Xenopus tropicalis: one gene and its partner. The protein of the gene in region 1 interacts with the protein of each later gene in a biochemical or structural test. Links are inferred from orthologs where the notes say so. Each region holds a gene or a part of one and is shown on either strand. Other genes may lie near its edges.

What was found.
Region 2: the proteins of sumo1 (region 1) and pias3 form a complex in vitro, tested with the Homo sapiens proteins (2 studies listed by BioGRID and IntAct, with this or other methods). The link is inferred for Xenopus tropicalis from reciprocal best matches to the Homo sapiens genes SUMO1 and PIAS3.

Annotation. Positions count from the first base shown.
Region 1 is NC_030685.2:52,311,679-52,318,601, forward strand, and holds the start of sumo1 (small ubiquitin-related modifier 1 precursor), read right to left. Parts: upstream 4,418-6,923; 5' UTR 4,314-4,417; coding exon 4,302-4,313; intron 1-4,301. UniProt on the Homo sapiens protein: Ubiquitin-like protein that can be covalently attached to proteins as a monomer or a lysine-linked polymer.
Region 2 is NC_030684.2:141,796,079-141,802,527, forward strand, and holds the end of pias3 (E3 SUMO-protein ligase PIAS3), read right to left. Parts: intron 5,566-6,449; coding exon 5,492-5,565; intron 5,260-5,491; coding exon 5,099-5,259; coding exon of another isoform or gene 5,095-5,098; intron 4,336-5,094; coding exon 4,199-4,335; intron 4,103-4,198; coding exon 3,931-4,102; intron 3,852-3,930; coding exon 3,718-3,851; intron 3,605-3,717; coding exon 3,567-3,604; intron 2,693-3,566; coding exon 2,432-2,692; 3' UTR 986-2,431; downstream 1-985. UniProt on the Homo sapiens protein: Functions as an E3-type small ubiquitin-like modifier (SUMO) ligase, stabilizing the interaction between UBE2I and the substrate, and as a SUMO-tethering factor.

The DNA of each region.
Region 1 (6,923 bases):
GTCAATAACTCTATGGGCATAGGTTACAGAGCAAAATGAGTCTTATTTATCTACACCTTTATATGTATGAGTGGGACTAAATTATATATATATATATATATATATATATATATATATAAAATAGTTTTTTTTTTTATATAAATCCATGACTTGGGCAGTGTAATGTTACACGGTGGGTGGTTAAAGTTAGATTATTCTAATTTGCAAAAAAAAAATGCATACAATTATAGATAAATAGATATATGTAGGTTTGGTTTCTTGATCTCTTTGCCAATTTGCTTCTGAATGTCCCTTATTACAAAGGCAATTTACTCTTCTCAATGTCCTTTTATAGCCACAATGTTGCTGATTCAGCCTTGCACAGAGGGAGCAGCTTATATTGTATAGAATCAGCAGGTAAAAAAAAAAAGCTGAGGAATAATATTCTAAATGTGAATTCAACCTAGTGGAAAATAAGAATTGTGCTGCTGCCTGCAGTCACCTTCATTTCATTATAATTCTGCACAAGAAAACTTAGTGAGTTCATTCTGTATTACCACACATTTATAAAGTACTAACAAGCACGCAAAGCTGTAAAATAGATTGTATGTTAACATGAAAAAAATTACATACAATATAGATTGATACAAGAGGTAAAGAACATCCCGTTACAATTCAGTGCATCATTGGCACAAACTGATGCTGGGTATTTGCACCATACAGTACTTCTCTGCAAGCATCTTATAGGGATTCTGACAGAAATCTTCCGTTGTACCATTCCAAGCACCTGATGTAATGTAGCTGACACTCCATAGTGACTAAGGAGCAATGCAAGACAATTAGCAGTCTGTTTTTCTCAACTGGGAATGCAGCAATCAGACTACATAAAGCATTTTTATGAAAGCCAGATGTCACCCAAAATTACAGAAATTTGATAGAAAAGAAGCCCCAATAACCTGGGGGTGGCACTGGAGAGAATTCAGATTACAGTCAGTACACCTTTTAATTGTTTTCTTCCTTTACATCAGGGCAACCCATAATATTCCATGTTGTGGGCCAATTATCCTCTCTTTCACATGTTTTGGAGCTGGGCTATTATAAACAATGGTGTCATAAAGAAAGGTATTTGGTAATAAAAATCTCTGTGCTTATTAAAAATTGCACTAAGCCTGAAACTAAATGAAATCCCTAGTTATACACCCTTAAAGCAAGGCTTAAAACTCTGCACAGTTTACTTTGTTTCCTTAACTGTATCTTGTTTATCCAGCAATCCGATATCTGCCACAGGGGAAGGAATGGGAAGTAATGGGAAGTAATCTGGTGTAAAACAGTACTTTAGGTACTGTACCAATAAAAATTACTTCTGTATCAATGCCCGAAGGTTGTAGTGGATTGTGTAACATACTATTTAGCATAAAATCTTCATACAACAGAACCACATGAAAAGGTATATACAGTATTGATGCATTTTGTCCACAAAGAACCAAAAACATTTAAAATGAAAATCACCCTCATCATGTAAGCAACGTGCTATAAAGGATCTGCTGGTTCTCCCTCCTACCCAAACTGTGCTTACTGCTAACATTACAGAGAACAGCCACACATCAGAATGGTCTTGACAGAGAGATGCTGCTTCTCTAGGGAAGGTCTTTGTGGCCTTTCACAAACTCGGCCTAGCTGCCAATTGATTTACATCCTACAATGAAAACTGATGAGACACCAGGGTACCTATACATCTGCATGTGCAATTTTAACTGCAATCGCCTAGTTTTTTCCACAATGCAATATTTTTCCCAGAATTCCAGCATCTTTGCAGTTGCAAGAGTCAATGTGCTTGGTGCAATTGTGTTGTGCCTTAGTTCACAAGACAGGAAGGACTGAGCTGTGCCAAGCACACCTACATTAAAGTTTAAAGGAGAAGGAAAGGCTAATAAAGAGTTAATCCCAAACTGCAGGCATACCTTCAGTTGACTCAATAGTGCCCTTAAGTCTCCCCATACTTCACCTGTTCAGAAGATCAGAAGCCAAACAGGAAAAAAAAACGCTGAGCAGGGTAGAGAAGATTCCCATAATGCAACGCTCCTGCCCAGACTTGGCAACTTGGGACTGTAGGCAGCGCATGCGCACACAGCAGGAGCGTCTGGTTGCCATGGCGACGCAGCCGACAGGAGAACTCTGCTCTGTGACATTCAGACCTGGCAGGTGGGGGGAGCGGCAGAGGGTTTGTGGCAGGAGCGGGGAGCCGGGGGAGTTGATATGCAGTGATGCATCTGCATTTGTGACATGCAGAGCCGGCAGGTGGGAGGAGCGGCGGGGGGTTTGTGGCAGGAGTGGGAAGCGGCGGAGGGTTTGTGACAGGAGCAGGGGGGGGGGGGTTGTGGCAGGAGCGGGGGGGGGTTGTGGCAGGAGCAGGGGGGGGTTGTGGCAGGAGCAGGGGGGGGTTGTGGCAGGAGCAGGGGGGGGTTGTGGCAGGAGCGGGGGGGGTTGTGGCAGGAGCGGGGGGGGGTTGTGGCAGAAGCGGGGGGGGGGTTGTGGCAGAAGCGGGGGGGGGTTGTGGCAGAAGCGGGGAGCGGTGGAGGGTTTGTGGCAGGTGAGGGGATCGGAGGGGGGCTGGCTTGTGCTTTTCAGCAATAGCCCATACAGACATGCTGGACAAGATGGCGGCGCCGTTCACTGAAACAAGTATGTAAGTTCTAGTATGTGTATCTCTGTAAATATTTCATTGGGCAAGCCAGAAATATAGCGTTTTTACACAGCAATAGTAGTACTATTTAATAGTGTGCTTAATAGATTTCGACTTTCCTTGTCCTTTAAGAAGCGCATTTTCACTTACGTACCTCAAATGAAAGTGGTTTTACACACAACTAACTGCGCGGAAGTTAGAGACTGAAATTACACTTGCAGAGATAATTTAGGAGCCCTACTAACTCTTCTGCACATCTTGGAAAAGCACCCAGCAGTGAATGGAATTGCTCAATGGTGCTAGCAAAGTATTTAAATTTTTTTTCAGTAAAGCTGTACAAAAAGCAACTTTTCAGACACTATTTTAGAGGTGTATGATGAAATGGGAATACTTGTTCACACATACCCACAGACTGAGATACAAAATAACAGAGTGATATACATTTGACACAAATGCATGTACGCAATGTTGCCCTAAATGTAAGGCAATAAATACCAATAATGGGAAAAACAGCTTTCAACAGAAACATCTGCGTGCATCACTGGTATTTAATCCGTCGCACCATTGAAAGTGCACTTAATTGGGCCAGACAGAAATTTGGGGCTCCCAGTGGTCCCCATGCCCACATGAATGCGGCATCAGCAAAGTTTGAAGTGACAGGACTAGCTGGTACTGCCCAACATCACAGGGATCTAATCATTTTGGCCTGTAGTCCACTTGAATGTTTAAACCGTCACCCTTTAGGTGGCTGCATTAAAGATAAGATTGGGATCCTAAACTATGAAAGTCATGCAAGAAAACAAGATGTGCTTGAACATTACATACAATATAAACAAGCAGAGTGTACTACAAGAGATCAATCGTTAACTCCCACATACCTACACACAGCTTAACATGATACCTCCCCTGGGTAATGGGAATTACCACTACAATTAAATTAACATGTGTATACGTGTGCAGCGGTGTTTGTTTGGAAGGGTTAAACGCGATTGTTATATTTTCAACCAAACATAATAATGTATCTACAAACACTTAGTGGATGCTCATAAATAGACTTAATTTATGTACCTGATAGTTCTGAAATGCTTTGAGCTCTTCCAGGCTAACAGATTTACCCTACTGTAACAAATCAATGCTGTGTGAGACCCCATAAGGCTAAAGCTGCTGAAACTTGTTAGGTTAATATATACTTTATATAGGTCAAATAACTATATGGGCCAATATATCTCTGGCTTTCCTGTTAGGCCTCTCACTTCGCCAACCACCACTGGGCAATTACTCACAGATAATAACATCTACAGGAGAAGATACACATACTGGACAATAAGACATAAAGCAAATTACACGACACACAACGGGGTGTGGGTCCTATAGAGCAGTTTATCCAGCAAAAGTGCACAGCAGCAGAAACCCATAGCAACCAGCTCTAATAGTCTAAGTGTCGTATAAAATGAAAGTAAATGACTTAGCTGCCGCCCTTGGTTATGGGCCGCATGTACTACTTTAGCTGCATATTAATGTGTAGCCATGAGACCTACTTGTTTACATCTACAAGCAGGTCTCCAGACACACAAAACAAGACACACACGTCCCAGAGACTTTCTCTCGTTCTCCCGCCCACTCCACAAAAGTGTCTCACCTGATCAGACATGCTAACTGCTCTCGGCCGGTATCGGTTCGCTACACTGGACCGCTCTACGCTTTTCCTTCCTCCGGGCACAATAACAGCACAAGAGAACCAGACAAGGAAGGTGTTCCGGTTCTTGGGAATGACCTCATTTCCGATACATGCGGCACCGCCCACATTTTGCTGACGCGCACTGCTGCGGCTTGCGGCAAATGGTAGGGGTATGCGCTTGCACAGACGCTGAGCACTAGGTGGCGCTTTTGTGTCCATATTGTAATGCGAACGTCAGCCTTTAACCATTGATATCCAGTGTTTTTTCTGTATAGAGCATTAACCTCTCCAAAGCCGAGCATTAATAGTAGGCGTCTAATGGCTTTGGCACTGCCAGCCTCACATCATTAAAAGGCCCCGTTACATAGTAGATTGGCTTTACCTGGCTTTACGTGGCTTTTGACGTTTTAGTAGGTGATTCTTAACCTTTTTGGTTGCGTCGCATGATTGAAATTGACCACAAATGTTTATATAAACTGGTTAAATGAATGAGCCAAATTACAGACAATTGCTTATATGAAAAAAAAATTGGTTATCTTATCTTGTCAATCTGATCCCTTGAGAGCCCCTGATGCCTCTATATTAGAGGACACATTGGGAAGAGACTAAATAACAGATACCGAGGCATAGGGTGGGTGGAGAATAGACATAATTATCAAAATTGTGTGAATAAACCTTACCCGCGCTTCTAATAAATTTATGTGTAGTTCGTGAAAGACTAATATTATTCTAAAAAACAAATTAAATTACCCAACAACAATCCTCTTACCCAAATAGTGAATAGAATATCATAAATAGCCTCCTTCCTCCAAACTAATCCTCACAGTGAATATATAAATATTATAACAAGGAGTTAGCGCTAAAAAAATATACCACCAAGTGTAAAAATTCTATAATATTTTAATTAATCATTAAATCAATACAAAAAGATACAAGTCATAAGTTAAAAGATACAATAGGATATAGTGATAATCAAAAACAGTTCGTTAAAACTAAATTGTTGGCCCTATTAGTTCATTAAAAAAGTGAACTAGGATAAATGAGGATGGTACAATAAATACGTTTAGCTTTTTAAATGACTATTTATGCACGTATTTATTGTACCATCCTCATTTATCCTAGTTCACTTTTTTAATGAACTAATAGGGCCAACATTTTAGTTTTAACGAACTGTTTTTGATTATCACTATATCCTATTGTATCTTTTAACTTATGACTTGTATCTTTTTGTATTGATTTAATGATTGATTAAAATATTATAGAATTTTTACACTTGGTGGTATATTTTTTTAGCGCTAACTCCTTGTTATAATAATTATAAAAATTGAAAGTCCAATCCAGAAGTGAAATCCTGGTCATCTTACCCCATATATCAAGTTGCCTAATATAATGTTGACTCTTTATCAGCCTTTAGCTAAAATACCATCAAAGAGATCCAATATCTCCACGCCAAGTCATACCTTGTCTTCAGTAGGCAATAGTTCTTAAAAGCATTTTTAAAGCCTAGATCACTGACAAGATAAGGTGGCAGCTTATCTGCCTGTGTAAGGGGACCCCTGATGGGCCCATCCAACTGATATCTGGCCTCAAATTGTCCGGATGTTGATCAGGCAGGTTTGATCAGAGACTGCATTGGCTCATTGATGCAGTCCTCACTTTGATGGGTCTTCTTCCATAGTTGTAATTCAATTGTTTGGCCCAAGGCAAAAAAAAACCCATCTGAAGCCTCTCTAATTTGCCTCAGAGGTGAAAAATTCCTTTCTAACTCCAAATTGACAATCGGACCCGAATACAGAATACAACTCTATTAACGAGCCTGTATGGGCTTAAGTACCTACGCATGGCGTTCATCTCTACATACATTTGCTTCCAGTTTAGTGTGCCACCCTACAAGTGTACAAGGGTATTTGTGTACTAGTGGCCCTTTATTGTTGGTCAGCAAGATTCCTAAGGAACTCCTTTAACCCCTATTAACAGCCAATCTATAAATTCTATGCCTTATTAACAGTTTTTTAATTATATAGAATACTCTCAGTGCTATTACTCTTAGAGAATATTTGATTTTCCTCTCTTTGGCACAAAGATATATACACTCATATGTCTAAAGATTATTGGGTCGGTCACAGGCTTGTATTTGGTACCATGCACTGAATTTAGGGAAACCAAAGAATATTCATGGGAATTTACTGTACTATAAATGCACCCAGCTTAAATCAGTGCAAGGGATACCCAGCACCAGTAAAAACATGGTTGTGGCCTGGTACCAACTCCCAGTAGCAGTGTCCCTTTTCCATACTCATGGGTATTAAGGAGCATGAATGCTATGATTCTTAGGATTTGTTGTTCAACCTCAGCTAAAGCACGGTAGGCAGCCCAGCTTCATTTTATTTCTACCTAATGTGTGGGGAAGCACCATCCCTTAGGGGGTGATAGAACTGATATCAAAGTGTCTCTTAAAGGTCTGGTCCAAACACAGCTGAGAAGCTGATACGGCTGTACCTTGTATTTAAAGTCAAAATTTAAAAAGCATACTGCCCAATAGTCCTCCTATTGTTTAGTAAAAATGTCACACTTTTGGCTCAC
Region 2 (6,449 bases), on another chromosome or scaffold:
GTAACCAACATGGCAGCTCTGGACTATTAATGTCTCTCTGTGTAAGCGTTATGGTGGGATTTACAAGGGAAGACCCCCAATCGGGAAGTACATCTGGGCTAGAGAAGGTCCATGGGTGGGGTTTTCCCCTATCACAAGCAAAGGATGCCCTGTCAGAGCTCTGATTCTCAGCATGGATTCTATCTGGGCTGCTCTCCTTCCCATGGTCAGGAGTGGAGAACCTGACACCACTTACCCAGGGGGAGGTTCCTGTCTGACCATGGGAAAGAGAGCAGCCCAGGAGCAGGAAGTACAGAGAATCAGAGCTCTGTACCTGGGTAAGAACTGGGGGGGGGAGATTGGATTCACTTACCCAGGGGGAGGTTCCTGCCTGACCATGGGAAAGAGAGCAGCCCAGGAGCAGGAAGTACAGAGAATCAGAGCTCTGTACCTGGGTAAGAACTGGGGGGGGGAGATTGGATTCACTTACCCAGGGGGAGGTTCCTGCCTGACCATGGGAAAGAGAGCAGCCCAGGAGCAGGAAGTACAGGGAATCAGAACTCTGTACCTGGGTAAGTACTGGGGGGAGATTGGATTCACTTACCCAGGGGGAGGTTCCTGCCTGACCATGGGAAAGAGAGCAGCCCAGGAGCAGGAAGTACAGAGAATCAGAGCTCTGTACCTGGGGGAGATTGGATTCACTTACCCAGGGGGAGATTCCTGCCTGACCATGGGAAAGAGAGCAGCCCAGGAACAGCTTAAATACAGAGCTCTGTGCCCTGGTCCGTACTAAGGGAAGACTGGATTCACTTACAAAAGGAGAAGTTTTTGTCTGACCATGGGAAAGAGAGCAGCCCAGAAGCAGGAAGTACAGAGAATCAAAACTGGGTATCTGCGTAAGTACTGGGGGGAGATTCCTAAAGGGGCAAATGGGCCCAAGTTTCAGCCCACTGACTATATAATTTAGAGGTATATGGCTGCTGTGTTGCTGTTATTACAGACAGTGGGGTTCCTGTGCTATAAATCTGGGGTGTATAATGGTTGTTACTATGGCGTTCAGGGGACTAAAGAACATAACAAACTGTTGGATACAAGGGAAACTACACCCCTAGTAGCCGTTTGCTCTCATGTAGTCTGTATGGGTTTATGGTTTATTGCGAGCACAACATAAGGGATCAGCAGAGGCAGAGCTCCTTAACAAAATGATGCCCTCTAGGTGGCGCTGTTCTGCATTCTGCTCAGAATACTTCTGCAAACAATATGGCAGCTCCCATTTCTATACATAAGCAGGCAGATGAGCCGACTGAATAAAGGGGTAAAAAATTTAGTTTGTAAATAATTTCGTAATTGTAAAATCTCAGCATTATTTTCCACCACAATGGACTTTGGGGGGGGGGGGGACGGCTGTTAAATCCAGCTTAATTCCTGTTAGTCATGTGACCTGTAGCCTCGGTTTCCTTTCTGGCTGAAGGCATCAGCAGTCTTGCTTTGTGGCAGGGGTTCAAGATAGACCTGTGTGTATATGCAGGATCCCTGCCGTAAAGTAAGACTGTGCTGCTGCCTTTATCAGCCTACATCTGCAAGGCTCATTTACAGCACTGCTGACCAGAGTGCCTGGGCAAGAGAGCTTGACTGATATTATGTATATTATATAATATCCAAACTTGCCATTGGAAACTGCCATATTGTTTGTTGGGCGACGGCATTATCTGGACCTCTGAGGATGCTGGGAGTTTTTCCTGCACACACCAGCTACTAGTCGTGGGCGTGGCCTATATATATATATACATTATATACCAGACACAGACGCTGACATTGATGATATTGCATTATCTGGAGCAAATAAAATCCTCGTTTAAAAAAAAAAAAAAAGGTAAAAAATAATCCTGATGGCATTTACTGCTGGAAAAACAATTCTTCCCCTTTACAAAAAATACGACTGGAAATATCGTCTTCCCGCGAGTCAGGAAACATTGTCCCATATTTTGCAACATTTTCTGCTTTTCAATAAAGTTTTTTTTTTTATAAAAAAAAAAAAAAGAAGTTTCCTCCAGTATAAAAAAAAAAAAAAAAAAGCGCCTCTCTAGTGGGATATGGACGAAGGGGGTGGGATTTAATACTACAACTGTTGCTACGTAGGGGTTCCCTGGGCAACTCTGGCGCTATATTAGTGCGTCCGAGTGTCCCTGTAGGATATAGCTGAGTGCCGCAGGGCCCCTTCTATATAATGCTTGGGAATAAAATGCCAAATCGATAGGAGCAATAAAATGGATTCAAGGGCCACAGTGCTGGAAAGGGGTAGTACTTGCAGAGCTGGGAAGCCCAGAGGCAGAGAGCGCACCAGGATTCCTAGTGGAGTTCACAAGTGCAGGGGGCCCCCCAGCTGTGCCAGGCTCAGCGGCTGTAATGTTGCTCTTCTGCTTTTGCCTGCCCCGTGCCCGGTCTCCCCCAATCAGTCCAAGGATATGATGTCCGGCCGGCAGCCCGGTAGCGCCGAGGAGGCGCTCTGCGACGTGTTGTGACTGTGGCTCTCCCTCAGCGAACTGGTGGACACGATGCTACTGATCCGACTGGCGCCGCTGGGCGTGGCGTGGCTCCCCGTTATGGTCTGGGTGAGTGGGCTCATGTAATGGCCCGGGGGTGCCCGGTACTGGAAGAAGTGGCTCAGGGCGTCCTGTTCGTCCAGGGAAGTGATGACGGAAGGGCTGTAATGCTGAATAGGAAGAGAGAGAAACAAAAAAAAAAAACAATCAATCAATTGACAGTTATGGGAATACCCACTTCTGGGCTGTTCTCTTACCCATGGTCAGGGAGGGCGGAGCTTTAAAGATTTCCAAGGCACATAAAGCAGCCTGAAGGAAATGCTGCTCCATCCAATGGCTTTACACTTACAGATGAATGCAATGGTAGGGGGGGGGGGGGGGGAGGAACAAGCAACCATTTGGAAACTAGCCCCTCCCTCCCACATAACCAGGGGAAGAGAACAGCTCAGGAAGTGGAAGAAGAGATAATCAGAGATGTGAGTTTAGTATGATGTAGACATTGCCATTTTGAGGCAGTTGCTTTGGTTTATGGTTTTTCAGTTATTTAGCTTTTTGTTCAGCAAATCTCCAGCTATCCAGTTGCTAGGGTCTTATTTACCTTAGCAACCAGGTAGCAGTATGAACGAGAGATGCGAATAGGAATAAGAGAGGGCCTGCATAGAAAGATGTGTAATAAAAAGTAACTATGGGTTCGGCCAACCCCCAAACCCACACCGACGGATTCGGCCGAATACGGAACGGAATCTTGGATTCGGTGCATCCCTAATAACAATAAAACTGGAGCCTCTCAGAGAAATAGTTTGTGGCTGCCGGGGTCAGTGACCCCCATCGGAAAGTTGGAAAGAGTTACAAGAAAAAAAAAAACTATACGAAATAAAAAACGAAGACCAATTGAAAAATTGCTAAGGATTGGTCATTCTATAATATACTTGTTAATTTAAAGGTGAACTGCCCCTTTAAATGTAAACAGTGGGGATCCCTGGCGGGCACAGGGGCATCTGGCGACTAACGGGTTATAATAAGTAAAATAGAAATGGCACTTACCGTACTGTCGGCCTGGAGGAAGGAGAACAGATCCAGCCCTGGGGTAGGAAAGCATTGGCATTTATTAGTTTATTTATTACCCCCACTCCAGCCTTTACCCCAATACCCCCCTACTACCCCAGTGTGCCCCCTCTATACTCCGCTCGGTTACCTTGGATATCGGGTGGGACAGGGTAGGACCGGTGATAATCCGGGAGGGGCAGGCTGGACAGGTAGTCGCTGCCTATGGTGGCCATGGGTGGGCTCCGTAATACGGACGATGGCTGGTGGTCAACGCTGATGACCCTGAAAGCAAATGTAAGTAACTAGCACCCTTCCTGTATGTCAGGCCTGTACTCGGCACCCAACTCCCCTCCGGACCTACCCCTTGGGTCCCGTGGCCGATGGGATAGCCGCGGACGTAACGGGGCACTGCTTCTTGCTCGGTGGCTCCTCTTCGTCCGAGGAGCTGTCCAGAGTCAGGTCGATCACCTCCACCTTCTTCTTGGCCTCTGCGCTGTGCTTGAGTTCGGGGGTCATGCTATAGATGCCACTGGCTGCAACGCAAAGGGGGCGGAGACATTTAGTGAATACGGGGGTTCTAGCATTTGAATGGGATGCTCTACCCACCCGGTACCAGCCACCCAGCTCACCCTCGATGCCTCCGTATGGGCTCGGCTGGCAAATGTCCTGCTTCTCTTTCTTTGGTCTCATCGGGCACCAGGATCCGTCTTCCATGAACTGGATTTCGTCGCAGTCTGTGCAGGAGTTGAGGATATCCATGAAGAGGCTACGGGGGGGCGGAGGGACAGCGTGAGTGGCGGGGTTGGGCACAGATATACATGGCCGCTGCATACAGCCCTGAGGCTGCGGGGGGCGGAGGGACAGCATGAGTGGCAGGGCACAGATATACATGGCCGCCGCATACAGCCCTGAGGCTGCGGGGGGCGGAGGGACAGCGTGAGTGGCGGGGTTGGGCACAGATATACATGGCCGCCGCATACAGCCCTGAGGCTGCGGGGGGCGGAGGGACAGCGTGAGTGGCGGGGTTGGGCACAGATATACATGGCCGCTGCATACAGCCCTGAGGCTACGGGGGGCGGAGGGACAGTGTGAGTGGCGGGGTTGGGCACAGATATACATGGCCGCTGCATACAGCCCTGAGGCTGCGGGGGGCGGAGGGACAGCGTGAGTGGCAGGGCACAGATATACATGGCCGCCGCATACAGCCCTGAGGCTGCGGGGGGCGGAGGGACAGCGTGAGTGGCGGGGTTGGGCACAGATATACATGGCCGCCGCATACAGCCCTGAGGCTGCGGGGGGCGGAGGGACAGCGTGAGTGGCGGGGTTGGGCACAGATATACATGGCCGCCGCATACAGCCCTGAGGCTGCGGGGGGCGGAGGGACAGCGTGAGTGGCGGGGCACAGATATACATGGCCGCTGCATACAGCCCTGAGGCTGCGGGGGGCGGAGGGACAGCGTGAGTGGCAGGGCACAGATATACATGGCCGCCGCATACAGCCCTGAGGCTACGGGGTGCAGCTGTCTCACCCATCAATGATCAACATGTCGTACGGCGCCTTCTTGTCGCACACGGGGCACGTCCACGTCGGCTTCTTCTCGTTCATCTGCAGGTAGAGCGCCGCGTCGAAGCACTGCAAGTGGGTGCAGGTGATGGCTCTGCAGGGCACCGTCAGGCGCATCTTTCCCAGCTGCGAGAGAAATCAGCAGCCACAAAGGGTTAATCCAGTCTGAGTGCAAGCGGGTCGGTAAAGCATTACCCATTAAATGGTTACTTTGCCTTTAATATGAAGGGAAAATAAAGCTGCCAAATGGATGCTAATCCCTCTGTTTTACAGTACAAATCCCAGAATCCTCAGCCAGACAGTGCTGGGGGCGGAGTCAGTGAATGTAAGCTTAAACAGGGAGCCCATTAGCACTCACCGGGCACATGAGGGAAACGCGCAGGCTCGTGGTGGCGATCTCACTGTCGGGATCTGCCGTCAGCTTTTCCTTTACTGTTATATGAAAACAAACGCGGTTAAGCACAGCGCCCCCTGGGGAGGTAACCTGTAACTGCAACTCAGGGGGGAGGGAGGAATGTAGCACCTCATAACAGAACCAGAAATATACGGGGAGGGATCTGGGATCTGATACCTCAGGATAGTACCATAAACACATGGAAAGGGGGGGGGATCTGGTACCTCAGGATAGTACCATAAACACATGAGGAGGGTTAGGATCTGGTTCCTCAGGATAGTACCATAAACACATGGGGAGAGGAGGAGTACCTCAGGATAGTACCATAAACACATGGGGAGAGGAGGAGTACCTCAGGATAGTACCATAAACACATGGGGAGAGGAGGAGTACCTCAGGATAGTACCATAAACACATGGGGAGAGGAGGAGTACCTCAGGATAGTACCATAAACACATGGGGAGAGGAGGAGTACCTCAGGATAGTACCATAAACACATGGGGAGAGGAGGAGAACCTCAGGATAGTACCATAAACACATGGGGAGAGGAGGAGAACCTCAGGATAGTACCATAAACACATGGGGAGGGTTAGGATCTGGTTCCTCAGGATAGTACCATAAACACATGGGGAGAGGAGGAGAACCTCAGGATAGTACCATAAACACATGGAAAGGGGGGGGGATCTGGTACCTCAGGATAGTACCATAAACACATGAGGAGGGTTAGGATCTGGTTCCTCAGGATAGTACCATAAACACATGGGGAGAGGAGGAGTACCTCAGGATAGTACCATAACACATGGGGAGAGGAGGAGTACCTCAGGATAGTACCATAAACACATGGGGAGAGGAGGAGTACCTCAGGATAGTACCATAAACACATGGGGAGAGGAGGAGTACCTCAGGATAGTACCATAAACAC